Pelodiscus sinensis: one gene and its partners. The protein of the gene in region 3 binds, or shares a complex with, the protein of the main gene of each other region. Links are inferred from orthologs where the notes say so. Each region holds a gene or a part of one and is shown on either strand. Other genes may lie near its edges.

Region 1 (10,018 bases), on a different chromosome or scaffold from region 3:
CTGCTAATCCCTCAGAGCCACCAGCCTGTGAAGTCACACCTGAGTGCATTAATGCTATGCCCAGCCATCCATGAATAAGTACAGAGCAATACCCCCATATCTGTCAGTCCCAAGCTTTGACCACCAAAAATGTGTTGGGTACTGTTCAGTATCTATTGAATTGTATACACTCATAAACTAGTCAGACCAACAAAGAGTAATGAATATACATCAGCACTGCTGAAATCAAACACACTGATTTCGATAAAAGACGTTTATTAGCTAGCAATCGATAGATTTTAACTGATTTACAAGTGGTAAGACATAAAGGTCATGTAACTCCAAGGCATTGAGATCACAGAGAAGGGACAGTGAAGTCCACTCTACTGCCTTAGCTGAGTGTTTGCTGACTTTTAGCTCATGCTATAGAACAGAGGTGAGGAATCATTTTTGGGTTGGTGGCCACTAACCCACAGAAAAATCAGTGAGGGACTGCACATAAGTGAGAAACCATTAAAAAAATCACCCCTCACCAGAGTAGGCTCCCCAGTGCTGCTGTGGACCAGCCTCTGTTTGTGGGGAGCTCAGATCACAGACAGGGTCTGCTGCCAAGGGGCTGCTATATCAGGCTACATCTACACTGCGTGTTTTTTGTGGAAGAGGAAATGCAAATGAAGTGCTCATTTGCATATCTTGCTCTCTCATTTGCATATATTCTTCTGATCCTTTTTGTGGCAGGCTGGGCAGAAGAGGAAGGAGAGCTCAGTGGTTTGAGCATTGGCTTGCTAACCCAGAAGTTGTAAGTTCAAACCTTGCGGGGGCCATTTAGGGGTCTAGGATAAATCTGTCAGGGATGGTACTTGGTCCTACTGTGAAGGCAGGGGACATGACTTCTCAAGGTCCCTTCCAGCTCTATGAGACAACATATCTCCAGATATTATATGAGAAGAGGTTTTTACAATAAAAAGCCCCATGTAGATGGGGCCATTTGTCAGGAAGAAACCCTTTGCGCAAAAGCCTGTAAACATCATTTTTTGAGGAATAAGGGATCTTGCACAAAAGGTTTTTTTTCCGACAAATGGCCCTGTCTATACAGGGCTTTTTATTGCAAAAATCTCTTCCGCAAAAATGATTGGAAGAATATATGCAAATGAGAGTGCAAGATATTCAAATGAGCACTCCATTTGCATTTCCTCTTCTGCAAAAAACCCACCATGTAGACGTAACCTCAGAGGCAACAGCATGGGGCAGCAGGCAGCAAGTTTGCATGGGGAGCTGGTTTTTAAAATGGCTCCCCTGATGGACCAGCTCTGCCTGCCACCCTGCAGTGCTGCCTCTGATACAGAAGCAGAAGCGCGAGGTGACAGGGAGCTCCCTGGGACAGAAAGTGGGGCAGAGAGCACACTGGCTGCCAACCCGCCCCCAGTGACTATCAAATAGTTGTGCAATCACTAATATTTCATGCCGTTACATGACTATTCCATTACACAATATCTAACATCCTTAGAGGCGACGCCACCTGTACCTCTTATGCCACAATGATGTTACAAGCTCCAGGATAAATGCTGGTTCTGGTTAACTAGCCCCTGAGCACCCAAAACTACTCTCTGTAGGAATTTGCTACTTAGAGTATACTGCGCATGCTCACATGAACTGACCATGTCTGGAGTTTGTCTGGAAATGGGTGACGGGGAGGGATCACGTGAGGATTACCTGTTGTTACCTTGACTGAGGAAGGTTTCTGATCAAAGGGAGCATAGATTTCAGCAAGCTCCTGGAGTAATATCTCATTGGAGATGAAAGGGCATGTTCAGACAGCTATTTTGAAGTCTGTAGGGTAAAGATGAGCCAGAGGCTTTATATTACAGACCAACTATCTTAATTTTTGTACCTGGGAAGTTACAGGAACAAATAATTAAGCAATCAGTTTGCAAACATCTAGAAGAAAATAAGGTGATAAGTAACAGTAAGCATGGATTTGTCAAGAACAATTCATATCAAACCAACCTGATGGATTTCTCTTACAGGATAAGAAATCTTGTGGCTCGGGGGGAAGTGATAGATGTGGTATATCTTGACTTTAGTAAAACTTTTGATACTTTGACCGTCTTGTAAACAAATTAGGGAAATGCTACCTACATGGAGCTATTATAAGGTGCATGCATAACTGGTTGCAAATTCATTCCCCGAGAGTAGTTATCAGTGGTTCACAGTCATTGCTGGAAAAGCATAATGAGTGAGGTCACACAGAGATCAAGCCTGGGTCTGGTGCAACTGTTCATCAATGATTTAGATCAGTAATTCTCAAAGTTCACAATGGGCCCACTTTGTTTACCTAAAGGGTCTGTAGCCACAGAGCCTCACAGCTGCCATTGGCTCTGGTTTGCCATTTACAACCAAGGGGAGTTACAGGAAAGCAGCAGCCCGGGCCATGCCACTTCCCGCGGCTCCTCCTGACTAGAAACAGCAAACCAGAGCCAATGGGAGCCGTGAGGGCCAGAGAAGAGCAATAACAATGGTTAATGGTCTAGGAAAAAATGACCTATGATGGAAGATTTTAAAAATTGGGTTTGTTTAGTCTGTAAAAAGAAGTCTGAGGGTACATGATAATAATTTTCAAGTACCTAAAAGATAGTTATAATGAGGAAGGAGAAAAATTGTTCTTAACCACTGGGGCTTGACAAAAAGCAATGGCCTTAAACTGCAGCAAGGGAGGTTTAGGTTGGATGTCAGGAAAACCTTCCTAACGCTCAGGTTGGTTATCCACTAGAAAAAAATTAACTTGGCAGATGATGGACTCTCCATCTTTGGCCATTTTTAAGAGGTTAGACAAACACCTGTCAGGGATGGTATAAAATAGATCAGGGGTTGGCAACGGACAGCACGCATGCCATAAGTGGCATGTGAGTTGATTTTGAGTGGCATGTGCAGAGGGAGCTCAGCCCCGCGCTGCTGCTGGTGCCTCGTGGCTGGTGCACAACCGCAGCACCAGTTCTGGGCGGGGGGCAAGCAAGGAGGCTGCAGATTGGGATGTGCACAAGCGGCCAGTACTGTCCCCCTTCTCTGCCCACCCAACTTATTGCAGAGCTGGTGAAAGCAGGTGAGCCACTGGTGGTGGTGGTGGTGGCACACCTAGGCTCAGCTGGGCAAGCTCCTCCGGGGGCCAGCGCCTGGACTTGGGCCACATGGCTGCGGCAGCTACTCCTCCAGCAATTGGGGGCAGGACTGGGATCAGGGCTGCAGCAGCTGCTCCTCCAGTAGCCAGGGCCAGGGCTGCAAGGCAGAGCAGGGCTGCTCCAGGGATAGCCAGTCTGCATGGAGAAGCGGGGCTGCTCCAGGGGCTGGAGCTGCTCTGGGAGTGTCTGGGCCACGTGATGGAGCAGGGCTGCTCCAGGGGCCAGAGCTGCTCCGAGGGCAGCTAGGCCACATGGGAGAGAGGGGCGCCCCGATCTGGCTGCCTGGGGCAGGTTGGAGTGAGGTTGGGGTACAGCAGCCGCAGGCTCGCTTTGGGGCACTGTTTTCCTGCTTTGGAGGGGCGTGTGTGTGGAACTGCCTTCCAGCCCCTCTGCTGCCATTGCCTGGGAGTCCTGACCCCACCTCCTCCAGCCCGCTGCTCTCAACCTTTTGCACAGCCCCAGCCCTGCAGCCCCAGCTCTCCCCGCTCTGCTCGCCTCCTTTTCTGCCTTGTGGTGCCCCTGGCAGACAGGCTAAAGATGGCGCTGAAGTCATGCCCAGCCACCAGCACCTCTCTAGAGGGTGAATGCTGCCCAGGCTGCGGCTCTGGGGCTGGGTGGCGGGGGCGGCTTAGGCAGCGAGGAAAACGCATAGGGGTCTCCTGTCCCAAAGCTGTGTTGGCCCGTAGCACCTGAGTCCCTGGCAGGAAGGTGAGGGTGCCATGGACTGGACCCTCATGGGACCCCACCCCCAGCAGGGCTGGACACCCTGGGGTCACCCATCCAACCCCTGCCTTGCCCATTTCCCTTACCCCCCACCCCAGCCACCCTGACTCCAACCTGTGCTGGTTATACAGCATTGTGCCCCAGCAAGATTGGAGCCCACACCAGCTTCCTATGTAGAGGGGGAAGTCCCAAGACTCCACACCACATCCAGCTTCCGGGAAAGTACACACATGCTGCTCCCCCCCCCCTTCCCACAGGAAAAGCTGGAGCAGAGCCCAGGGCAGGAGACCAAGTGGGTGTGCGGTGGAGAGAGCCCCTCCTGGGGTGGGGGGCAGGAAAGCAGCCCAGGGCAGGAGGGTTAAATCTTGGCATGCCACTTCAGAAAGGTTGCTGACCCCTGGAACAGATGGTACTTGGTGCTGCCGTGAGTGCGGAAGACAGTTATTTGTAGGAATTTACTACATCAGGTGGTAGATTTTTGTACAATAGCAACGAGGAGTCCTGTGGCACCTTATAGACTAACTGAAGTGTTGGAGCATAAGCTTTCGTGGGCAAAGACCCACTTCGTCAGATGCACGTCTACATGCATGGCTACATGCATCTGACGAAGTGAGTCTTTGCCCACAAAAGCTTATGCTCCAACACTTCAGTTTAGTAGTCTATATAAGGTGCCATAGCACTCCTCGCCGCTTTTGCAGATTCAGACTAACACGGCTACCCCTCCGATACTTGTACAGTAGCAGTTTCCTACAATCCAGTAACTCCTATAGGTGGCATATTTCTAGGGTTTCCGTATTTGAACTTTCAAAAAAGAGCACACCTGGAGAGGGAGTTGAAGCAAAATGCAGGACAATGTAGCACTTTAAAGACTAACAAGATGGTTTATTAGATGATGAGCTTTCGTGGGCCAGACCCACTTCATTTGATCTGAGGAAGTGGGTCTGGCCCACGAAAGCTCATCATCTAATAAACCATCTAGTTAGTCTTTAAAGCGCTACATTGTCCTGCATTTTGCTTCAACTACCCCAGACTAACACGGCTACATTTCTATCACTGGAGAGGGAGTGTATCTGTATCTGCCAACACATGAATACAAGGTGAGTTGGCAGATACTGATACACTTTTTTGAAAGTTCAAAGATGGAAACCCTCACATTTCTACACAGAGCAGTTTCAGGAACCCAACAGTGAGCAAGGGCTAGCCACAGGGATTTGCTCCCTCAGCTAGCGGTCTTCCACCACAGCCCATCGCCTATCAGCAACTGCTACAGGGAGCAGCCTCCTACGCTCCTCCCGCGGAGCCTCTCAAGGGAGCTTCAAGCAAGGGGCGGGGCTGATGCATCAATTGTAGCCCTTCCCCTAGGAGAGCAGGCTGGATGACGCCAGCGAGGGAGAGGTGCATCCTGGGAGGTGTAGTCCTCCGCCTGCCCCCCGCGCGCAAGAGCGCACGAGCAGAAAACTACCACTCCCGCAGGGCTGTGCTTCCCGGCCTGGCGCTTGGAACGACGGTTGAGGCCGGGGCGCTGAAGCGGCGCGGAAAATGGCGGCGGCGAGGCTGAGCGGCGGAGACAACCGTCTGGTGTCGCTGCCCCTCTCCCGGATCCGGGTGATCATGAAGAGCTCGCCGGAGGTGTCCAGCATCAACCAGGACGCGCTGTTCCTCACCGCCAAGGCCACGGTACCGGGCTCGGATCTCCTGGCGGGGCCGGGCGAGGAGCTCGGCGGGGCTGGGGCCAGGCCCGAGTGGGACTCGTGCTCTTTGGTCGCTGGCACCAGGCACGCTCGTGCGGGGCGCGACCTGCTGTGGAGAAGCCTTGGGCAGCATCTGCCCGTGGCTGTTTCCAGCCCCTGGGGGGGGGAGGGGCTGAAAACGGGGGGGGGGGGGGGGTGCCAGTGAAATCGCTTAGTCCGTTTCCTCAGGGAAGGGGAGGTTGTCCTGACTCACTAGATGTCTTGGGTTGCAGCCTGGCGCGTGGCAAAAATCGTGCCAGGGATTGAGGGGGGGGGGGTTTAATAGCAGCCTTCAACTTCCTGAAGGGGGGTTCCAAAGAGGATGGAGAGAGGCTGTTCTCAGTAGTGACAGATGGCAGAACAAGGAGCAATGGTCTCAAGTTGTGGTGGGAGAGGTCCAGGTTGGATATTAAGAAAAACTATTTCACTAGGAGGGTGATGAAGCACTGGAATGGGTTCCCTAGGGAAGGAGTGGAGTCTCCATCCCTAGAGGTGTTTAAGTCTTGGATTGACAAAGCCCTGGCCGGGTTGATTTAGTTGGGATTGGTCCTGCCTAGAGCAGGGGGCTGGACTTGCTGACCTTCTGAGGTCTCTTCCAGTTCTATGATCATTGCCCCTCCTGCTTCCATGAAGCATAGAGTATCCGTAGATCAAAGTCTGAGGCCTGTCTGCTCTCCCTGTTCATGAGGGTTCAAACAAAAGCTCAGGACATTCATGGAGGTTAGGTCCATCAAGGGTTATTGGCCAGGATGGATAGGAATGGTGTCTGTATCCTCTGTTTGTTGGGAGCTGGAATGGGTGACAGGGCGTGGCTCATCTGTTTTGTTCCTTCCCTTTTGGGCACCTGCTATTGACCGCAGGATACTGGGCTAGATGGACTTTGGGTCTGGCCCAGTATGGCCGTTCTTATGAGGAATCACAAATGCGCTGGTGTTAGAATGCCAGCCAGCTCCTTTTCTGAGTTCCTCAGATTTTTGTGTCTTGACCTAGACTTCCACAAGCATCTCCAAAGGGGGAAATTACATGCAATTTTAGAAGTGCTTTTTGGATCCCCTTTTCAGCAAAATAAACCTGACTAGGCACAGGCATTTAGTTGAAAATCATTGTGCACCTCCTATGCATGCTGCCAGGGAAAGCAGCACGTGTAGAAGCTGCACGTAGGGGATTACCTTTTTAGTAACTGAACTGCAAGATCCTGTACCACAATATTATTATCTGAATATTGACAAGGTTTCAGTTATCAAAATTCATCAGATAATTGAGACATTCTAGTAAGACCAGTGCATGATCTAGTTGATCATATATGTTCCTGGGTGTAGCCATGGAATACAGCATTACACTTTTCGCTTCTGCTAAACCTGGTCTACACTAAAATGTTAGGTAAGCCAATTTAGAGTCAGAGAGTTGTTGTTAACGGTTCTAAATCCTGCTGGAAAGGGATAACAAGTGGAGTTCCTCAAGGGTCTGTTTTGGGACCCGTACTGTTCAATATCTTCATCAATGATGTAGATATTGGGATAGAGAGTACGCTTATTAAGTTTGCAGATGATACCAAACTGGGTGGGGTTGCAACTTCTTTGGAGGATAGGGACATAATTCAAAATGACCTTAGCAAGTTAGAGAAATGGTCAGAGGTAAACAGGATGAGGTTTAATAAAGAGAAATGCAAAGTGCTCCACTTAGGAAGGAACAATCAGTTCCATACATACAAGATGGGAAGCGACTGTCTAGGAAGGAGCATGGCGGAAAGGGATCTAGGGGTCATAGTGGACCACAAGTTGAATATGAGTCAACAGTGTGATGCTGTTGCAAAAAAAGCAAATATGATTCTAGGTTGTATCAACAAGTGTGTTGTAAGCAAAACTCGTGAAGTCATTCTGCCGCTCTACTCTGTACTAGTTAGTCCTCAGCTGGAGTACTGTGTCCAGTTCTGGGCGCCACATTTCAAGAAAGATGTGGAGAAATTGGAAAGGGTCCAGAGAAGAGCGACAAGAATGATTAAAGGTTTAGAGAACATGACCTATGAAGCCAGGCTTCATGAACTGGGCTTGTTTAGTTTGGAAAAAAGAAGATTAAGGGGGGACATGATAGCGGTTTTCAAATATCTAAAAGGGTGTCACAAGGAGGAAGGAGAAAATTTGTTCCTCTTGGTTTCTGAGGACAGGACAAGGAGTAATGGGCTCAAAGTGCAGCAGGGGAGGTTTAGATTGGACATTAGGAAAAAATTCCTAACTGTCAGGGTGGTCAAATATTGGAATAAATTGCCAAGGGAGGTGGTGGAATCTCCCTCTCTGGAGATATTTAAGAACAGGTTAGATAGACATCTGTCAGGGATGGTGTAGGTGGAGCTTGGTCCTGCCTTGAGGGCGGGGGGCTGGACTCGATGACCTCTTGAGGTCCCTTCCAGTCCTATTATTCTATGATTCTATGATTCTATCCTCCTCTATAAGAAGCATAAGACATTTGTCTGTGTAGTTAGGGTGACAAAGTATTCCTGTAGACATTGTTCCTTGCATATATTGGCTGTCATTCTTGTCAACTTCAGGGTTCTGGTGCAGCCATGAAATTGACAAGAAAGTTGGCTTCCTGCTGGAAGCATAGCTGTGCCTGGCAGGGAGCTCTGATCCCCGAGCCTAGGGTGGCTGCCCTGTTTCTGTCAAGGAGCCAAGAAGCCCAGTGTAGCTGCCCCGTTTCCAGGGTGGAGCTGAAGTGGGAGGGCATCCCAACTACAGCTATGTGCAGAGCTAAGATCGCTGGCTCTCAGCCTCCTACCCTGTCCCTCTTATGTTGATGGAAGTGCTCCTGGTGGAGATATACACCACTGTCAGAAGGACAGTGAGACTGTGTCTACATTGGCATGTTTTTGCACAAAAGCGGGTGCTTTTGCGCAAAAACATGCTGCCTATCTACACTGGCGGGGAGTTCTTGCGCAAGAACACAAGTTCTGATGTGTGAAATCAGTGCTTCTTGCGCAAGAACTATGATGCTCCCGCTCAGGAATAAGCCCTCTTGCGCAACTGTTCTTGTGCAAGAGGCCAGTGTAGACAGGCAACATGAATTTCTTGTGCAAGAAAGCCTGATGGCTAAAATGGCCATCAGAGCTTTCTTGCTCAAGAGAGCGTCTACACTGGCACGGATGCTCTTGCGCAAAAGCACATCTCTTGTGCAAAAGCACATGCCAGTGTAGACACTCTTGCGCAAATACTTTAACGCAAAAACTCTTGTGTTAAAAGTATTTGCACAAAATCTTGCCAATGTAGACATAGCCTGAGTGATTATGTGAACCACCCTAGCAATCACTGCAGTGGCTTAAGTTGACTTGACTTAAGTTTTATAGTGTGGACATGCCCTGATATAAAGCTCTGTGACATTCAGTGGAAGTTGCCCCTTGGTGAGTGATGGACTTAATTTGTACTAAATGTAACCTGACGGTCTCTTTCATTATTTCTTTTAATAGGGAAGGAGTCTTTTATCACTTAAGTAGTGGAAACTAGCAAGCATTTTTGCATTATTTAATTACACCCAGAAATATTTTCTTGATATCATCTATCCCATTAGTGTCTGCAGAAGGGATGACAGACTTGAGTGAGTGACACACGTTGTTAGTCTAAGGCCCCAGTTCTGCAATTGGCTACTCACAGATGTACACCTTTGTCTGCTTACACAGCTACATCAAAATTAGTGGGACTCTGTAAGTGCAGGGCAGTGGTTGCATGCAACTAATGCCCGGATTGGGCCTTAAATAAGGGTTTGAAACTTTGCAGCCAGCTGTACACAGGAATTAAGAATTTGACAGGTTTCTTTTCTTTTTTTTTCAGGAGCTCTTTGTCCAGTATTTAGCCACTTACTCCTACAAACATGGCCGCGGGAAAGAGAAGAGATCCCTAACCTATAGTGATCTATCCCACACAGCAGAGGAATCTGAAACGTTTCAGTTCCTTGCTGGTACGTATAGCAATTGTGGCAAATCAGTATGTGCGACTGAAAATAAGGAACAGCTCCTGCATAGCAGTAGTTGTCATTGCAAAGCTATTACTGTAAAGTCTCTTTTTGACTGTTAACAGTTCATGGTCCAAATAATTGACAGACATTCTGCATTAATGAATAGGCTGCTTTTTTCATTGATGTAAAAATGCACAAAGCCATGGGACAGAATCATTGCACCTCCAATTATTACAACAGTCATACTTAACATTCAAGTTGCTGTCTTTCTAGCACCTTTTAACAGTATCCCTGAGTAGTGAACAGTATCTCAATTTTACAACTCAGAAAACACAGGTACAGAGTGATTAAAGTGACTTTAAAGTCAGTTTGAGAGAGGAATACCAAGGAAGTATGTAACTCCATCTTCTGTTTTAACCTATAGACAAGATTCCCTTTAATAACTTCATATGTGCCCAAAACTATATA
Region 2 (10,238 bases), on a different chromosome or scaffold from region 3:
TAGGGTGGGACTATCAGTGACTTTGGAAAGAGAAGGCACCACCAGAATGAAAGGATCCAGCTCAAAACCCTGATGTGCTCAGCATTCTAAACCACTGCGGTACGTCTCAACATATTATGTACAACGTAAATGCAACAAACTAAAGCCTATTAAATTCAAACTCCGCCCTAGTAAGCAAAAACAAACTTATTCAATACTTTTCTGCACCGCTTTCCCTGTGGGAATCTTTGAAATTCTATGTTGCATCACAGAACAAATCCAATGTTAAAGAGCAGTCAATATCCTTGGCTTTTCAGAATCTGGAGCGAGTACCAAGTGCCCCATGCAATGGCGAAGAGGTGGCCTTTCCACGACAGAAGCTGCATCAATCTCATCAGGATGCCTGCTTACACCTGGGAATGAAAGCCAGGAGGGATGGATCCCATAGGAGCAGCACAGAACTTTGCTGGAAACTGGAAAGCAAGAGGACACTTCAAGGTTGATTTACAGTATGTATATGTCTAGGAGGGCAGCCCAGCCCAGCCCACATGCCTGTGTGTCTGCAGGAAGCTCAGTTATCCACCTCTTCATCATCATTTTGTTCCTCCTCTTCCATCCGTTCATCATCTTCATCATTCTCCTCCTCCCTGCTCTTGTCTTGTTCCTCAGAGTCTGCCTTCTTGTCTTTCCTTGCTTCTTTCTTGCCTTTTTGCTCACGCCTGTAAACTAACAGAACAAGAGAACTACAATTGGACATATGTATGTTATTGTATCCATTGTAGGGACAATCTAGATGTGCTCCCCCATGCTATGACCCAGGGTCTCCCCTTGCTCTCCAGGCTTATAAAAATGGAACACTGAATCTCTTTATAGTAGCTACTCATCCTGTTATCTGAGCTGTGCTGACAGGCTCTAGAGGAAGTTATGTTAAATGATGTTTAGCAGAAAGATGGGAAGAAGGTAACAGGAATTCATGTACATTACACAGAAGTGATGGGGAAAGACAGAAAAACCATGACTGTGCATCCTTAAAATACAGTTATGAAATTACATCATAGAAGTTCTGGTAAACTACATGTTCATATGTCCCCATTAAAACTGCAATGAAAAATTTTCTGACAAAAAAAGGGAGGTAAGATTTGGATGTCCAACCCTCAGGGTAAATAGGACTCATTGTCATTAGGACTAATTTAATATACAATTAAAGAACAAGTTACCTTCCAATGATTCCTTCAAAGGCGCGATAAATCGCTGGAACTCCATTTCCTCCATGGCTGAGAGGACATCTCCAGCATTCAGTGTTTTCCTTTTCCCCTTCACTGCAAAGTTATTTGCGCTAGTTAAAGTGAGGAAGCAGAATAAATATCAAATAGCAAATCAACCCCAAATTCCATCTGTTCAAAGCAGCACAGCCAACTTAAACAATTACGGCTCTCTGAAATACTCAATTGCTATTGTGATAAGCAGCACCTAGGATGACTGACCAGGAAACAGATTAAATTAAAAAAAAAAAACCTTTGTTTATAGTGTGCATTTAAGTGTATCTAGTCAGTTTCACGTTAGTGAGGTTACCATTTATATGGGTCTTTTAAACTACAAGAAAAAAAAAAACATGTTTAAATGTGGTTGTAAAAGTGGCAAGATGATTCAAGGACACTAGCAAATATGTAGTTACTACATGTATAATTTAATTCGTTTTTTAAAAGTTCACTAGTATTCAAACGTCCCTGTAAAATTAAAAGGTATGCCATCAAACTGAATTTCAACTGCTATAGATTTAGAGAATTTAAGTGCAGGAGGAAGCTAAATGCTATAAAACTCAATGAGTAATTTAACATACAGTATGAAACATGCCTAGTTAGTTACTACATTATTTAGGTTAGCACTCAGAAGGGAAGTCATAAGGCTACAATGGATTCACATAACGCAAGAACAAGGAGCCCTTATGTAAATTAATGTTTGCTATAAAAAGGCTTTATAATTTTATGACCAGTGTTTTCTGAAAAAATGATAAAGTGCAGTGATAAAGGTAAATCAAATGTGATGGTTAAGGATGTAAGTGATCACTACCGGGAACAGGCAATAACCCAGCCCCATCTTTGTAGGCCCTCAGAATGTATATACTGGGCAAATAACTGATGGCATTATGAAGCACTGATGCAAAAGAAAGTATTTGCTACTTAATCAAAAACTATTTTTAACAATCTTATATTACACAAAGGTCACATTACAAACTAAAGCCACATTAAGCTTTATAATGCTTCGTGTACATGAAAGATAAACATGTCTTTCATTACAGGTAGTGAAAAAATTCCATCAAAGAGAGCCAGCAGAAAGGCTAGCTACAGATCAAATGGTCCATTAGATCAGGTCACCAGTGATGCTTACCATGATGTGGCATACAACACAAACACACTTGCAGCTCGAGATATTGCACTCCGAGCTTCTTTGGAAATGTTCACTCCCTCAGGAAGCTGGGAAAAGGGAAATGCCATTTTATCAGATGCAATTCAAGTCATATGGATCTGGAGACTTATCAAGTCCAGTCTAATGGGACTGAAAGTCACCAGTTTGGTCAAATCATCCTGAGTATTTGCAGTAAGGATGTAAAATCCCATTTAAACAGTTAACCAAGGTTTAACCAGGTAATTGATTAAGCAGGATTTGGGGTTGAGAGGAGGCTGCAGCCCAGCTGGAACGGCATCCCCCTACTCTGTAAGCAGGGCTCCTGGGTCCGTGAGTGGCTGCCAGTTCCCACCCTGGCCTGTGGCATGGTGGGTTGGAGCAGCCCTCCATCTACTGCAGGTCACGGGCAAGGGGCTACTCCCTGGCACCAATTAACTGTTACCTGGTAAGCATCACCCGTTAAACTACAACTTAAAAAAAAAAAAACGCAATAAAGATCACAGAACAGTATTTCTCTGTTTTTCCCAATTTACCTTGAGCACCTGGCATAAAGAAGTTCATTTTACTATGTAGTCAGATTTCCCTGTTCTGGTATGTCTCTCAAAGCAAGGGGCAGAAAAAATGCTAAAAAAGTAGCTGTAAAACCACAAGAGCTAACAAGGGATTTTTTTAGCAAATGATTAATTTCAAATTGACAGTTTTCCCATCAAACTGTTTTACCATCTACAACACAAAAGTTTAAAAAATTACACAGCAAAGGACCCAATTTATGTGTAACTGGCACACTGTACTCTATTGATGTTTTCAGTCTTTTAATTCAATCTTCTTGAATGCTTTTAGCTCTCCAGTGATACTCACTGCTTCTTTAATTATCCGAGTGATGACAGCATTGGGCAGGTTCAAGTCCTCTGGTCTTTCTGCCATCTTTGAACACCTAGAACTAAAATGAGAACTATTCAAGCTATTTTTTCTGCTTACCAGTTCTGCTTATAATACAACACGTCTCATTATTATAGTAGAGCTAGGCAGTTCTGCTATGCAAAGTGCCCATATAAAAGTGACACCAGCTTACTCAGCAGCTCTGCCCCATACATCTAGTTGCTTGTCAATGAGAAAATATCTTTACTACTCTTTATTCCCGATACCTCTGCAGAACCAGCAGAGGTAAAAGGGATTCCCTGGATTTTTTTTTCTTAACTCCCCTGTGTATTTAAAAAACAAACAAACCCCAGAGTGGTCCTGTAGCACCTTAGAGACTAACATTATGTGTATAAGCTTCAGGGGAGTAGCCCAGTTAATCTGGACAGGATGAATTCAAACAACACACAGTCTGGTAGCACTTTAAAGACTAACGTGCTACCAGACTATCTGTTGCTTTTGTCTCTATATTGCCATGAGCTTCTGTGGGCGCAACCCACATTTTCACGAGCGGGCGGCGCCCACGATTTTATATTTAAAAGCACCGGGCGGCCGAGCAGCCCCTTGCAGGCTCACAAAGCAGCAGAGGGGGCCGCGAGCGTGCGGGGGTCCGACCCCAGCGCCTCAGCGCTCATGCCCCGTCTACGTGTCCCGGCAGAGACGCTGCTGAGGTGTCCGCGGGCCGCGGCTTGCCCCAGGGTGCCCGGGTGCAGGCCAAGGGGCTGCAGGGCCCGGGGGGGGGGGGGTTCAATGTCAGACTCCCCCCCCCCGGAAGCGAACCCAGCGCGTGACACCTGCGAGTGCTGCGCGGGCTCCTCAGCGGGCGCGGCGGGGTCAGGCCGGTGGGCCCAGAGCCCGGGGGGGGGGGGGGGGCGCAGGCAGACCGCCCCCCCAGCAGCGCCCCTCCCGCGGGGGGAGCCGCCCTTCCCGGCGCTGACAGTGGCGGGGGGGAGTGGACACCCGAGGGGGGGGCAGTGGAGGCCCGGCCCGCGGGCCACTGGCTCCGTGTCCGCTCCCTGCGCCCCCGCCCGCGTGCGGACCAAAGGCCCCGCGAACCGAACCGCGCGCCCAGCCCCTGACCTCTCACCCCTCCCAGCATGCAGCGCGCGGGCGACAGCCTCCCCCGCCCCCGCCTTCTTCCCGGCGTGCACCGCGGCCGCACCCGCCTTGCCCGGGCGCGGGTTGTTGCCTGGCAACGCGTCTAGCGGGGCCGAGCCTGGGCAGCCGCGGGCAGGTGAGAGGCGGCCCCCGCGAGCGCAGGGGATGTAGGGGGGGGCCTGGGCAGTGCGGGGGAGAGAACGGGAGGGGGAGCGGATGGTGGCTGGATGGGGGGGCAAGAGGGGAGCGGCTGGGGGAGTGGCCGTGGGGGCAGAGGTGGGGGGGAGGGGAGTGGCCGTGGGGGCAGAGGTGGGGGGGAGGGGAGTGGCCGTGGGGACAGAGGTGGGGGGGAGGGGAGTGGCCGTGGGGACAGAGGTGGGGGAGGGGAGTGCTTTATACCCCGGGCTCTGGAATCCCCCTCAGGTGGCAAAGTGGGAGCTGGGTGACGTGATGCTGTTGCATTGGGAGCTTTTTATTCCTGCGCAGCACTGAGGACTGTCCCGCTATGCTGTCAACTCACCCCATGAGAAGCAGGCCACAGAGAGGGCTTAATTGGCCAGGCAGCCTTTATTGCGCTGCTTCCTACATATATTTTAATAATACATTTCTAGCACATATATATACATTCCTTTTTTTGTTACGATATGCAGCGTACCATCACCTTTTTTTGGAAGCACTCTTTGCTTTCTTCCAGCACAGCCCCCATCCGGCCCTGAGCACTCGCTTTTCGCCAGATGGGAGTCTGCTCGGACACGCAGCAATTAAAGGGGCCCCTGCGACCGCATTTCGGCCCCGACCTCCCAGAAGAAGCACTATCTATCTATCTATCTATCTATCTATCTATCTATCTATCTATCTATCTATCTATCTATCTATCTATCTATCATTCTTTGTACACAAGCTATTCATGCATCGTGCAATGATGTTCGGGACCAGCAGGTTTCCATGTGATACATATTATGATAGCAGTTTGTTGGCGGTAATCAGTGTGTCAGACGTAAAGTGTGTTGTAGTGTGGTGAGCCCTCTGCTAGTTGGCATCGAGGGGTTCCCAGGATCACAGTCACCTAACAAGACAACCCAGAATAAAAGTAGGAAATTATGACTACTTCATGTGCTGTTATTTTATGGTAATGTTACGATTCTTGTTAACATTTCTCACTGTGTTCAGTTCTTCTGTTTTTGCAGAGTATTCAGACATCCAGTATTGCCAGCTTACTGCTATTCATTAATGTCTGGATGGTTGCAAATATGGTGACTGCAGGTGTCAGCCAGTGGGACGAAACCATCTGTGACATGGCTGTCTGCCAACACCCACAGTGCTGGGACACTATAAGGAGGATTGAACAGGGACAGCCTCGGATCCGTTTAAGAAACTTTGACACACTCTGCAGGGTTTCTTCTTCAGAAAGCAAAGGTAAACCCAGTGACCATGGCCCACCCTATCTTTCGGCATGTCTACTCTACATAGCTTTTAGCAACACCGCCCTCTCCCTAAAAGTCAGGCAGCGTAAACACTGTTGGCAGTTTTACCTACAAAAAACTTCCACCCCCTAGGAGTGGCTATCATGGACAATGCACTGTTTACACTAGTACTTGCCATGTCAAAGCTTTGCCATTCAGGAGGGTGGGTTTTTAAGCACCTGTGAATGACAAAAGCTTTCTTGCGCAATTGCCAGCGGAGACAAGCCTGAGAGGAGAAACTTCTATTCTGAACTCCATTCATCTGAAGAAGTGGGTTGTGCCCATGAAAGTTCATGATACCATCTTCTTTCATTAGGGTATATCTACACTTACACCCACTTTTGAGGTTTACCAGTTATTTCAAGAGAGAGGTTTTCTCTCGAAATAACCACGTCTTAACAGCGACTGTTATTTCAAAATAGCGCTATTATGCAAATGAAGCATGGGATATTTAAATCCCGACTTCATTTGCCATTTCGAATGTCTTCATTTGCATCCCTCTCTCAAAAGAGGGTGCAAGTGTAGACATACCCTTAGTCTCTAAGGTGCTGCAAGACTATTTGTTTTTTAAGTTTATTCTGAACTTGTTAGCCAACTTCAGGGACAATCCTAGTACAATTTGTTGTTTTTACACAAGTTAACAGGTCAAGTTAGACTGTTTGTAGCTTTTTTTTGAAAGCTAGAAAGGATCATTAGATCATCTACTGTGTCCTTCTGCATGGTACATGCCATAACATTTCACCATCACTCTTGTACTGAACCCAATAACTTGTGTTTGACTAAAGCATATTATCCAGAAAGAAATTTAAGCCTTGATTTGAAGACAGGATACAGAGATTGAGAACCCACCACTGCTTTTGGTAGTTTGTTCAGTCACCCTTAACGTTAAATGTGTGTGCCTAATTTCTCATTTGAATTTATCTAAATTAAATTCCAGTACCAAGTAACATGGTCACATGTATCTGCAAGGCCCTAGTCTCCATACTTCACAGGCTGACCAACAAGTCCACAGGAACATTAAGCTCTATTGTCTCTTTGCTAACGGGCCCTGATAGCCTTAAAGTGTAATCAGTGGGAGTGACTGAAAACAGCAAATATGCATTTACAGATACACAGTTCAATATTCTTAACTTGAGTCTACAAAAATGATACGTGCAAACAAATGAGAGAATCATATTCAGTAAATTGCAGCTTTTCCAATGATACTTTGCAACGTAGTCTGCATAAAGCATATTCCAGTTATGTTATATTTATATTCATAAGCACAGTTCCATAAAGAATATGGACTGCCCCATCACAGTTTTTGAAAGCAATAATCTTTCATGTGAGAGGTAAAACAGATCTTGAGCACTTATGATTATTAAATAGCCCCTGATTTTCTGTGTAACAAGATGTTAAATTTGGTGTCACAGCCAAATTCCAGTGAGGCAATGAAATTTATCCTAACTAAAAGTTCTCCCTGAAATTAGATTTATATTATTCTTCATGTCCTTTCAAACTGTTATGTAGTATTGCCCTGCATTATTAAATAGAGCAGAGGTGGCTGCCCTTTCCATGGTGGGTTAAGCTGGGTTGGGAGTTGGAGGGATTATGAAGCTGAATTAACTATTATTTGTAAAAGTGTCAGAAGAGTAGCCGTGTTAGTCTGTAACTGAAAAAAATTAAAAAACAACTAATGGTCCTGTAGCACCTTAGAGCCTAACAAAAATATAGCTAGTCTCATGAGCTTTCGTGGGCACAACCCACTTCTTCAGATGTTTGTAAAGTATTTTGATCTTCTCTGATAGAAGGCATAGGATTAATTACATTTTAATTAGTTACAATTAAAATGGGCTAATAGAATACTGACAAAGCTGTAAATAATATATAGAGTGACCGTTTAGTTCTAACTAAATATTGTCCATTTTAATTGTAGACTCCTGTAACCTCAGATCCTCAGTGTTCACAGTGTCTTTGCTTTTAATTTGTAGATGAGTTACCATCACTGAAGATTGTAAACTTTCCCAGCAATTGTTCTCCCCAAGAAAGGATCAGATGTTCCAATTGTAACAGAACTATTTCCTCCTTGGCTGCACTTGAGACCTCTTTTTCTCCTTCTCTGTATGAAACTTCAGTCTATGATTTCTTTGAAAGAAATTCTGAAGTCAGGTGAATTGCTGCCAACCTCCAATCTCTGGATGATTTATGAATGTTTCCAGTATTCCCAGGACTAAGACTCTGTAGCAGAATGGTGGCACCCTTGAGAGAGATGGTAGTTCCTGTGGGTCATGGAACATGTTACCCTATCCGTGTTTCATACATTACAGAGCAAACGGTTACCACTTATGGCCCTAATTCTGCAAAAAATTACACATATGCTGAACTTCACACATGTGAGTGGACCCATTGATTTCAGTGTTAACTGTGTGCATTGATTTATACAATCGGGGCTTAAAAATAAATGCCTTTAAAAGACCAGATTACTCTCCTGGAATATAGGATACATTGTTATTGAAATATTCATATTGTTCAAATTAATGCCAGATCCTCATTGTATACATTGCACAAATCCATAAACAGTCCCAACCACAAACAGCTTACAGTTTAAACCAAAAAAACAAATTGAATGTTTTGCCTAGAATCCTGCTTACTTGGTTAATCAGTTAACATTAGCTTAATCTAATGTTTAAGTGTTTAACAGATTAATCCGGATTTTACATCCGTACTGTGTAAGATGTATTATTTGTCTTTAACTGCATCCGCTAACTCATGTAAGGACTACAAACTACCTTCTTGTTGCTAGAATTTCACCTCAAGTTAGCCAACAACAATCTAACAAAGGCACCTTCCAAGAAACTCAGGCTATTGGCTCAGAAGGAAAGCCCTGCAGCTCTTCTATTTTCCTTGCATTATCTGCCAGTTTTTAATATGTATATGAACTATATTCATACTTAGGGCTTATGAATATACAGAGGTTATGGCTCCTGCTGCTCATGTATAACTGATTAATTGCCCCCCCCCCCCCGAGTTAGCTGCACTGATGTAAGAACTACCTGCACTTTGTCTCCGCTAAGATTTTATATCAGGACAGCTTTCTCGATGGAAAAACACACATCGTTTTTGCATGAAGACAAAGCCAGTAAGGCCAAAATTGTGTTTGTAATAGGTCAGGCCCCATTTGGTGCTGTCATCCCATGTGATGAGACCCTCACTGAGCCTGTTTTCTGTGCCAGCTTGAGCCCCCAGTACCCCCGATTTAAAAACTGTAAATGATGGGGAATCTACTACTTGAGCCCTTAAAATCTGCTTTGTATCTATGGACAATGTTTGCAGTTTGCATGCAATACAAATTTTGTATCTGCGTAGGTCTCTGCCTACTACAGCAAGGGCCGGATTAAGGAGGGGGCTAGCCGGGAAGCTGCACCAACCTGGGGGTGGGCATCTGATTGCAGCCGTAAGGGGCACCCGGGATGCAAGAATGGCTCGAGCCAGCCCTGACTACAGCCTTAATAGCAGCTAATGTCCTTTGCATGCTGTTAGTTTGTATTGGTCTCACTGTGATTTTGGTTTGTACCTATATTTCAGTTTAGAAAGAACTCATTTCCCAGGACTGAACTCAGTGGCAGAGTCACGCGTGATGCCACAGAGGGAGATGAGCTTCACCTATTTGAATAAAGTTGGAAATGTGAGTGACAGAGGGGAAAGATGAGTAGTTGCCAGGATCTGCTTTTTACAGAACTCAGGGCTAACTTTTTCAGCTGGTTAAGTGGCCAAAGGTGCCCTCAGTGGGACACTATTTGGGCACTCTTGTGTTATGGCACAAATTAAAACAGCATTTATCGGTGGCAGATATTTGCGGCATGTCTACACTATGTGTGGCTTCCGAAAGAAGATATGCAAATTCGGCTTGAATTTGCATATCTTCCATTTTTTTCATCTACACGGGGCCAAATATTGGAAAATCCTCTTTCGGGGAAAAAAACCAGAAGAAGATACGCAAATTCAAGCCGAATTTGCATATTTTCTTTCGGAAACCACACATAGTCTAGATGTGCCGACAGGTATATGTCTGTAAACATCAATATCACCACACACACAACAAAAACACATTTCCATCAGTAGTAATTTAAATTTACAGAAAGAAAATGCTGCTTCAGAACTTTGTATATTTTGATACGATATTGACACTGTTTTAACAGCTATAAAGCTTTAAGTTTTTAAATCTCAAAGGGTATGTCTACACTGCATTCCTCTTTCGAGAGAGGAATGCAAATGCAGCCAAGCGAAATTGCAAATGAAGCGCAGATTTGAATTTCCCGCGCTTCATTTACATAATCGTGTCCGGCCGCTATGTCGAAATACCCTATTTTGAGATGAAAAACGCTGTGTAAACGC
Region 3 (9,935 bases):
ACCTTTAAAAACACAGTGGATGGTGATCTTCAGTTCTCAGTTAGAATACATCACAACCAGCTAACACAATTTTAAAGGTGTTAAACTATGACAGTAAAAGGTGTTAAATGACATTTCAAAACACATTGCCCACTTGATTTAAAACAAAAACATACAGTAATTCCTCATTTAACACTATAGATATGTTTCAGAAAATGATCGTGTTAAGTGAAAACGTGTTATGTGGGGTCAATTTTCCCATTGAAAATAATGGAAAAAGTGGGGGTTGCGTTTCAAGTGGTGATGTCTGTTGGGACCGGGACATAAGGTTGGGGGAGAAAGGGGACTGGGTTACAGCAGGGAGGGAAGGTGTTTGGCTGTGTGGAAGGGAAGGGGAGGAGAGGGGAGGGGGATTGGATTGGGAGTATGCCCCTGTGATGGGTCTGCCAGGACCTGCTCTGCATCCAGCGAAGGGGAACGGGGGGAGGAAGTCGCCGGGGAACGGCATGGCGAGCGGCAAACCCTCTGCCGCTTTGCAGGGAGGCAGGGAAAGCCCTGCGTAGCCGCCAGCGACGGGCCGCCTGGGGAAATGGTGTTATTCCGGGGACAGTCATGTAATTAAAAAAATGTTCCCTTAAAAAAAAAAATCATGCTATCACAAAAACGTGTTAAGCTGGCACGTGTTAAATGAGGAATTGCTGTACTCCCTTTTCTCAGCCTAACCATCAAAGATCAAGGAAAGGGAAAAGAAATAGAGTAGGTGAGTGCAGATATAGCAATGGTCCAGAAAGTGAAAGAGTATTTTCCCACTGAGTGATATCTAATATGACAAATAGTAACTAAAAGTTTAGTTAGTACATGAAGGCCATATTTAATCCTTGCAAGCTGCCATCAGATCTGAGCAAAGAGTAATTGAGAACTGAGTGTAGTATGTATTTCTAGATCCAGCCAGCCTAGGAACCAGATTAAAACATGGAATTCGGCCCTTTCCAAATACTGAAGGACTTTTTTTTTTTTTTTTTAATCTTTACAACTCTTCCATGCAGTTATGAAAGAGGTACTAAAGCTTCATTCTGTTGAGTGTCTTTCTAAACTACACATATACACTTGATTTTAATTTGGGTTGTTAATGAGAGTCAGTTATAATACTGTGATAACAATAAGGGTACGTCTAGACAGCATGGCTATTTTGGGATACCAGAAGTATCCCAAAATAGCTACTCCGCATCTTAACAAGCCGCCTGTTATTTTGAAATATTTTTCAAAATAACGGGTACACTATTTCAACATCCCTGTAACTCTTGTTCCACAAGGGTTAAGAGAGGTCTCAAAATAGTGCGGGTTTTTTCAAAATTTGGCGCTGTGCAGATGTACCAAATTTCAAATTAGAATTGAAATAAGATACACAATTTACACTGTGCAAATTGCGTATCTTATTTCAAGTTTAGGTGTGGTGTAAATGCACCCTAATTTTATTTATGAAAGACATTTTCAAAATAGTGGAATTAAGAGAAATCTTATATTCTGTAGAAAAACGTAGGTCCTTATGTTCCTGCCTTTTATATCCTTGATATGTTAATGCAGACACTTCTGAACTACACTTAATAAACTTTCTTTACGGGCTTTTTTTTTTTTAATTCTCTCCTCCACTACAATTTAGGAAACACAAGGACCCTTTCAAAATTATTCAATCCAACTCCTCTTAAGATATTATTTGGTGAAGTCTATTTGAGTAGCAAAAACAAGTCCAAGCATGGTAAAATTTACATGTGCTCTAATTTTACATACTGCAAAAGAAAGTATTTATTTTAAAAAAAAAACGTAAGACAAAATTTGATTTTTGGGAACATTTTGTGGGTGGGTGGAAGTGATTAATTAACATTCATATCTTATAAGTAATGTTGGATCAGATTGTAAAGTTAAAAGAGTCAGCTTTAAAACAAAATCTTATCTTTCTAAAGATTTTTACCCACTGCTGCTACAAAATAATCATAATCAGCATAAGTGAGTGAGAACAGAGAAATATAATTTTTCCTGCTTTTTGCATAGGTCTTGTACATTTGACAACACTGTTTCACAATCTCTGTTGGTCTTTTACACAAGAACAGGGGAAATACATTCTAATAGAAAAATGGCTGTCAAGCTATAAATATTGGTGGGGAAACCTGCGGCTTTGCACACTACTGGAAACTGCGTTGGGTTTGTTTTGGGTGATTTTTACTGCATTAAATTGGCGTTCCTCTGACACGGAAAATCTCAGTTACCTTAAGAGGCTGCTGTGAGCAGAAAGCCTGCAAAGTGGAATTAAAGATGCTACTATAATACCCTGACATTAATGCCCTTAGGGACAGATACAACATCCTTGCCCCCAGCAATCCTCCTCCTCAGTCTCAAAGGACGAGTGTCAGGGCTGCAAAGCTGATGAAAGAACCCCCCAACTATTGCTTGATGCAAGCGCCGAGACAGGGCACGTTCAAGACCAGGAGCTGGGAGGGAGTTCAAACGGTCACTCAGCAACTCTCAACCCGGCAGTGCATTGGAGCTGACGGGGGCGAGGCTGGCGGCGCGGCAGGAGCGCGGCAACCCCGGGCGAGAACAAGGAAAGGGTTAATGAGAGGGTGGGGGCTGAAATGGCTCCGCGTGGTGCGCCCCCCACAACCCCGGCCCGGCTGCTACGACAACAATAGTGAGGCAGCAGCACATGTCAGGCTGCTCGACCCGCACTCAGGGGCCGCCGCTCCCCCACGGCGCTATTTAAACCGCGGCCCGGCCGCCGCCGAGCCCGAGTTAGGCGCGCGGCTGTTCAGCGCCAGCGGCCCGGTGACCGTTGTGCCCCTTCTCTGGGGGCTGTGGGCGGGGCTGGCGCACGCAGCGAGGCCTAGTAGCTGCCGACATGCGGCTCGGGCGCCCCTGAAGGAGCTGGGGGCCGGGCCAGGCACTTACTGCCTCCCGCTCAACTTTCACTTCCCGGCTGCCTCTGGCGGCCCGCGGCCGGGGCGCCCGGATAGTGACACCGCACGCTAGGCAGCTCGCCCGCTGCTTCCCCGCCGCCCCAGGAGCCAGGGTGGCGACTGGCCTCCCCGTGGGGCCTGACGGGACCCCGGGGGTGAGGCGGGTTCGGGGAGGGGATCCCGGTCTCCGCGGGGCGCCCTCCCCAGCCGGGGAGACGCAGGGCTCGCCGCCCACAGCGCTCCCAGCGGAGTGTCTCCGGGACGCCGGGCAGGGAATCCCCTCCCACCCCAGATGTCAGCCGTTCGGGAGGTTAAACTGCCCGGCCCGCCCGGGGAAGGGGAAGCGGACCAGGAGGGGGGGGGGTCGTCTCTTACTCGTAGTCCCTAAAGATCTCGTTGGTGACCCTGCAGTAGAAGACGCGCTCGTCGGGCCGCAGGTCGGCGGGGGGCTTCTCCCTCACGAAGGGCTTTCGGTGCAGCAGCGGCATCGCCCCGCTCCGCGCGCTCCTTCCTGCCCCGGCCCGCTTCAAATTGGAGGGAAAAGGAGAGTGAGTGCGAGCGGCGGCCCGGGAGGAGGGAGCGGGGCCCGGCGTGTCCCTCCCCCCAGGGGAGCAGCTCGGGTCGCGGCGCTACTGGGAATCCGGCGGCGGCGGCAGCCTTTTGTGTGCTTGACACGCCGCTGCCTGCCTGGGACTGCGAGGAGGGAGCTACGGATCCTTCCTCCCCCGCCTCCTCCTCCTGCCTCACAATGGGGCCATGACGCCGAGCAGCAGGCGGAGGCGGCCCACTCCCCCTGGAGTCACACAACGTGCTCGGCTCGGGGATACCCCGGCTGCTGCGATCGCGCTTTGTCTCCACCGGTTCCCCGGCCACGGGGTCACCCCCTTCCCCGCCTCTGACCTGCACACGCCGGGTCGGACACCAACTTCCACTCCCCCTTCGCCGCCTCCTCCCAACCCCTACTCAGCAAACCGGGGGGGAGGGGAGCGGTGATCACTTCTCTTCCTCCTTCGCTTCCTGCCGGGCTAGTGGCCAGTGGGACTCCCCTACGTCCGCGTCTCTGCCGGCCGGGAGGGGCATAGTGGGGTCACCCTTCTCATTCCCGGCGGGTGCGTAATGGGAACTTCCTTGTCCGCCCGTCGGAGTGGTATATAAAGAGGTCTTCCTCCTCTTACCTACCGTCTGTTTAATAGGGTCCCGACCCCTTTTTGCCTGGGTGGGGGGTACGGAGATCTTCTCCTCCTTGCTTATTTTCCTCCTCTTGCTCTGCTGTCTTTCCCCCTCAGCTCCTGGGAAGTTTTTGATCTACTTCAGCTCAATGAGGAAGAGCTGCTGGGAGGAGCTTTTCACTTCTCTACCCTACATCTTTATTGGCCGCTCAGTGCCTTCTCGTGTGTGTCACACAGGAAGACAGAGAGCTACATTATTAATTAATGGCTGAGAGGACTCATCCTCCATTTTTGAATTATCAGCCTAAAGATCTATAGCGTGAGGGGGTGACCGATCTGGGGCAACGACCTGGATCCTCCTCACTGCTTGGTACCCAAGCAGGTTGGGTTTTAAATGACAAGCCACTTGGATACGAGGAAAAGCTGCTGATAAGGGGAATTCGTATTCAAAGACAGGAATAAAGACGTTTCAGACACAGTAGCACATTTCTCCTTTCAGAAATTACGGCTGCTACTTCAAAAATTCTCTCTGTGCATTCACACAAAATCTCATTACTTCTTAACCTTGGAAAAGTCACTGGCCCCATTGCATACTCAATTCATCAGGGATAGAAATATCAGTACTTTATAAAAATCTCTTTCCTATAAATTGCAATCTCAAAGGCTTTAGTGTTGGCTAGCACAATTGTGGAGAAATGTCTCTCTTCCATTACTTAAGACCAAAATGATACATTTCCAGAGGAGTTCAGGTGGAACCGTGTTCAAGAATACTGTGGTTAAAATTATCTCAAGTGTAACTCCTATACACAGTTTAGGGGTCTCTGGGCCACAAAACATGACCTGCTACCTTCAGCTCAGCTGATCTAAGAATAGCTAGGTACTACCCTACCAAAGCACACCCTATTGTTGTTATTCTTAAATTGATTTTTATTTCAATACATGTATTTTAAACATTGATTAAACACTCAGGTTTGCCAGATGCTATACCCTGATGATCTTAACATCTAAGGTTCCAGTCCTGCAAAACACATTAATAACTTTATTTACTCAGTAAATCAGTCACATTCATAAGTATTTGAAGGGCTAGTTCCCAAATAGGAATATACAATCTAAAGTCCTGTTCCTGCAATAGGTGTACTTGTACAGTCCCTGTACTTATCAAGAATCCCTAATTTCACTGACATTTCATGCAAGTGTAGTGGTCTGCACTAGTGTAATTGCAGGATAAAAGGCTAAATGAAAGTTGCCATTATATAGAATCATAGAATTTGAATTTTTGTTATGGGTAGAAAATCTGATTTGGGTCATTGACATTTTAAGTTATGTTCATTCCTTGCATTTAGTTTATAAAATGTTTAGCTTAAACTATTAATAGGATGCCCACAAGTCAGCTCCAATTCTACCCATTTATTTTCCCCATTTGCCATTGGCCTTCGTTTACCATTTTAAATTAATTTGTAGTAGACGGCAGAGATGTGATTGCAAACAATTTTTTAAAAAGTATTTAATAAGCACAACTGAAATCATGTTTTTGTCTGTTTTGCAGCAAAATCTTAGTGTTTCAAAAACAAATACTGTGGGAATGGCATTCAGCTTTGCTAGTTCTTGTGATTTCATGGCAACTTTTGCAATATATCACATTTTTCTTAAAGTTCTAACTCCTGGAGACACAATTAGATGGGAATCTCAGCTTTAATTTAAGAAAAAGTTTCTACCACTGAGGGCTGCAGACAAAAGCTGGAAAATTAACACCCTGAAAACTGAAAAGACAGAAGGAAATAAAATAAGCCCTATATTAATAACTTATTAAAATTCCATTATTCTGGAGTTATACTATGATTTTTGAACATTTAAGGTTGTCAGTACTGCATTATTTTATAACTAGTTGGCATCCATGAAAAATTCATGATCTGATAGAATTATGACATCAAAAACGGATTCCCTTTCCCTGTCTCCTTTGCCCTCTCTCTCTCTCGTTCTCTTTCCCTCCTCTTTGTTCCTCCCTCTCATTTATTCTCTCAGCTGTTTCCCTGTGAGGGTTGAGTAGTAGGGTTGTGGTATCAGAGGTGCTGTTTGCATTTATTCAGGATACAGTGAAGCTGTTGGATGGTATATTTAGCTTTGAGTTTTGAACTATTTCTGCTTTTACAAAGCCAAGATTTTAGAGCTTCCCCTTGCTGGCTGTGGTGGGACTTCACTTTTTTGCCCACAGTACAGACTCCTCTGGCCCTCCCCAGTGTCTGGCCAGTGGGCTTTTCAGCCCTTCCCTGTCACCCATTCACTCTTCAGCCAGGCAGCTAAGGGCTCCATCTCCACCCTGGACCCCCCACCCCAGGAGTGTGTAGTCACACAGACTGTCACTGAGGGTGCAGCAGCCTGGACCACCACCATCTGGAGAGAAGCGGAGTCTCCTCCTGCCAGAGATTGTGGGGCTGGCACTATGAACAAAACTTTCTCTCCATGTGAGTGAGCTGGGGTGAAAAGGGAGTTGGGCAAGTCTGGCAACAAAGCACGGGGAGGCTGGGAAGAGAGGGATGGAATTGGCCTTGGAGGTAGAAATGTGCATGGGACTTCAGGGAGTTTGGGGGGAGGGCAGAATAGGACTCCCACTGGGGAGAGCCAGGCAGGTAGAAGGTGGGGACAAGCATGGAAAGGAAGGATGGTAACAGTGAGGTTTTGTTCCTTTATTTCTCTATTTTGCGGTGAATCATCCAATCTAAGACTTAACATAATAAATGAGAGCAATGAAAGGGGTAATGAAAAGAAAGAATAGGGGTTATGGCAATATGAAATTATGGGGGTTGCATATACAGGTTAATCATAGATGCACTGTGCTGAGGTTCTGGAATCGTCTTAAAATACTTGCACATTTTTTCTTTAAATCTTTTAAAAAATCCCACCTGCCTTTAAAGCATGTTGTTTGGTTATTTGCAACATTCTGGTGTCATTTCTGACCGTGTTAGTGAGACCTATCAGCATTTTCTTCAACAGCTGGGGATCCTTTCCCACAGACCAAGGAGGCAGAGCACACAGCACAAAAGCTGTTCAAAGATGGGGCCAAATACAGACAGAAGCACATGGGCTGCTGGGACGTGAAATGATTTAGGATGACCCTGGTCTCCTTTTGCCTTCCCATAAAAGTCAGCAGCAGAAGCAGGGCTGGCTTGAGCCATTCCTGCGCCCCGGGCTGCGGGTGCGTGATGAATGCACGGCTCCGCTGCACGGCGCATGCGCAGCCCCAGCGCGCTGTGCACCTTACAGCTGCAATTGGGCGTGTGGTGCCTGATGGCAGCTCTAAGGGGCGGCGCACGGTGCCCCTTACAGCTGCCATCAGGCATCCCCCAGAGGTTGGCGCCCCAGGCAGCTACCTGGCTAGCCCCCCCCTTAATCCGGCCCTGAGCTGCAGAAGAGGAGGGGGTGCTCTGTGGGATAGTTGTCCACAGTGCAGTGCTCCGAAAGCCACTGCAAGTGTGGTCACAATACTCTGCATTTTCACTATTTAGCCATCCCTTTACCTCTTCCAGTGTAGACATTGTCTTAGTGTAGCTGATGAAATAACATCTATCCGTTAAGAGCATGAAACAAAAGTTTGGAGAGGTGTGAACTTCTCTCTATTTATCTCAATAGACTTAACTCAGCCAGGTTGTGATTTCTTAACACAGTTAGTTGGAATGTTACACCTAACTCATCTATGTCCCCACACAAAAAACTCTAGGTCAGATTAAATGGTGCTTTAAACTCAAGAAGGGGTTAGTTGAAGCTCCCTCCCGTGATCCTGGTGCATTAGCTGGTAGTACTGTGGGAATGCAACAACCCAAATTACAACTCATCAGCAGCTAATCCCATTACCTTGTGCTATAAATCACATACCCTGTGTAGAATAGTGATAGAAATGTAGCCGTGTTAGTCTGGTGTAGCTGAAACAAAATACAGGACTATGTAGCACTTTAAAGACTAACAAGATGGTTTATTAGATGATGAGCTTTTGTGGGCCAGACCCACTTCCTCAGATCAAATAGTGGAAGAAAATAATTTTCTTCCACTATTTGATCTGAGGAAGTGGGTCATACCCTGTGTGTAACTCCAGTATGCTTTTATCAATTGAGCTAGCCTAACTGGACTGCAGTAACTTGAGCACACTCAGGCTGGATCTTCCCTAACAATTTACATGAGTATAGCTACATCTCTCAGAAACTAGGAGTCCTGTGGCACCTTAAAGACTAACAGATTTATTTGTTGCATCTGATGAAGTGTTTTTCTACCCACGAAAGCTAATGTCCAAATAAAACAGTTAGTCTTTAAGGTGCTACAGAAATGGTCACCAACCAGTGGATTGGAATAGATTGATAGATCTTGGAGCCTCTGACAGGTGATCCTGACTGATTTGGTTAGGATGCTATCAAATGCTGTCCCTACACCTCATGCTACTCCTGCCCTTTGCCTTGGAGCTGCCACCTTGGGAGCCTCCTACTTGCTGTGCAGGAGGTGGGAGGGAGAAAACAGGGAATGCTGATGTTCTCCCCCCACTTCTGTACCCCATCTCTACAAAAAGAAGGGGATGGAGGGAGGTTGGCAATGAAAATCTCTGACACTCTCACACACTGTGTGTGTTTGTCATTCTCACAAACATGCACTGTCCTTTATGCTCATCTCCCAATCCAGCACAAACTTGGGGGGGTTGTTGTTACTTCTTGTACTACTTGCAAAGTCTGTTATTTTGGTTTTTGACTGGTCTGTGCATTTCATAATTTTAGTTTCTCTCTTACACTTAAATTTAATTCTTTCAGTAGTGAGTTCTAAAATGTCTAACCTATAGCGGCTGGAGTAATTCTCCCTGTGGTAATTGTTGCTTATGGAAGTAGCTGGCATGTCCCTGCAGCCCCTGAGAAAGGCAGAGCAGGGGGTCTCCACATGCTGTCCTTGCCTGCAGACAGTGCTCCTGTAGCTCCCACTGATCAGTAATGGCCAGTAGAATGTGTGGGCTCAGGGCCTGTAGATGAGGGGCAGCACATGGCACCATAGAGCCATTGCTGTACATGCCAGCTGCTTTCAGGAGTGTTGCAGGGCCAGGGCAGGAATAAGCCTGCCTTAACCTCATTGCTCCACCACCCAGAAACTGTCTCAGTTAAACAGTGCCCAGACAGAGCCTGCTTCCTGAACCCCTGTCCCAGCCCTGAACCTCCTCCTACACCCAACTTCCTGCCCCAGATGTGTGTCCCCCTGCACCCAAACTCCTTCCCAGAGCTTGCACCCTGAAACCCCTCTGGACCCCAATCCCACACCCTGGGCTAAGTCCAGAGCCCCTCCCACACTCAAAACCCCTTGGTCCGAGACCAGAACCTGCACCCCAACCCGCTACCCCAGCCTGGTGAAAGTGAATGAGTTTTGGGAGGAAAGGGGATGGAGTGAGCAGGGTGAGGCCTCGGAGAAGGGGTGAATAGGGGCAGGGCCTCAGAAAAGGGGCAGGAAGGAAGGGGGGCAAGGGTATTTGGGTTTGAGGTAGATCTTACATTACACTTATATTGAAAAAGTGATATTGTGATTTAAAAGGTTGAAAACCACTGTGCTATAGGATTCCTTGTTTTTATAGATATAGACTAACATGGCAACCCCTCAGACTATAACTCTCAGGGGGGTGAAAAATCCAACTGCACATCCCTACGAAGTGTAGATATATAGATCTTACATTGGTGTACACAGTGCTAGGTCAACCAAAGAATTCTTCCATCAACTTAGCTACCACCTCTCAGGGAGGTAATTTACTTACTGATGGAAGAATCCTTCCTGTTAGTGCTGGGTAATATAGTCTACTCTGATGTGCTGCAGTGGGTGCAGC

The links.
Region 1: BAZ1A (region 3) and CHRAC1 share a complex: the UniProt entries of both Homo sapiens proteins name them as parts of the CHRAC ISWI chromatin remodeling complex. The link is inferred for Pelodiscus sinensis from reciprocal best matches to the Homo sapiens genes BAZ1A and CHRAC1.
Region 2: BAZ1A (region 3) and POLE3 share a complex: the UniProt entries of both Homo sapiens proteins name them as parts of the CHRAC ISWI chromatin remodeling complex. The link is inferred for Pelodiscus sinensis from reciprocal best matches to the Homo sapiens genes BAZ1A and POLE3.

What each region holds. Positions count from the first base shown.
Region 1 is NC_134712.1:7,846,055-7,856,072, reverse strand, and holds the start of CHRAC1 (chromatin accessibility complex protein 1), read left to right. Parts: upstream 1-5,355; 5' UTR 5,356-5,417; coding exon 5,418-5,555; intron 5,556-9,426; coding exon 9,427-9,553; intron 9,554-10,018. UniProt on the Homo sapiens protein: Forms a complex with DNA polymerase epsilon subunit POLE3 and binds naked DNA, which is then incorporated into chromatin, aided by the nucleosome remodeling activity of ISWI/SNF2H and ACF1.
Region 2 is NC_134732.1:3,227,102-3,237,339, reverse strand, and holds the start of POLE3 (DNA polymerase epsilon subunit 3), read right to left. Parts: upstream 4,438-10,238; 5' UTR 4,384-4,437; exon of another isoform or gene 4,098-4,383; intron 3,326-4,097; 5' UTR 3,310-3,325; coding exon 3,244-3,309; intron 2,454-3,243; coding exon 2,368-2,453; intron 1,316-2,367; coding exon 1,197-1,315; intron 706-1,196; coding exon 563-705; coding exon of another isoform or gene 551-562; exon of another isoform or gene 453-550; coding exon 387-452; 3' UTR 1-386. Other genes in the region: C22H9orf43 (uncharacterized protein C9orf43 homolog), read left to right, coding at 5,640-5,817, 7,835-8,012, 9,429-9,528. UniProt on the Homo sapiens protein: Accessory component of the DNA polymerase epsilon complex. Participates in DNA repair and in chromosomal DNA replication.
Region 3 is NC_134714.1:48,391,378-48,401,312, reverse strand, and holds the start of BAZ1A (bromodomain adjacent to zinc finger domain protein 1A), read right to left. Parts: upstream 4,269-9,935; 5' UTR 4,110-4,268; exon of another isoform or gene 4,106-4,109; intron 4,002-4,105; exon of another isoform or gene 3,831-4,001; intron 3,455-3,830; 5' UTR 3,419-3,454; coding exon 3,306-3,418; intron 1-3,305. UniProt on the Homo sapiens protein: Regulatory subunit of the ATP-dependent ACF-1 and ACF-5 ISWI chromatin remodeling complexes, which form ordered nucleosome arrays on chromatin and slide edge- and center-positioned histone octamers away from their original location on the DNA template to facilitate access to DNA during DNA-templated processes such as DNA replication, transcription, and repair.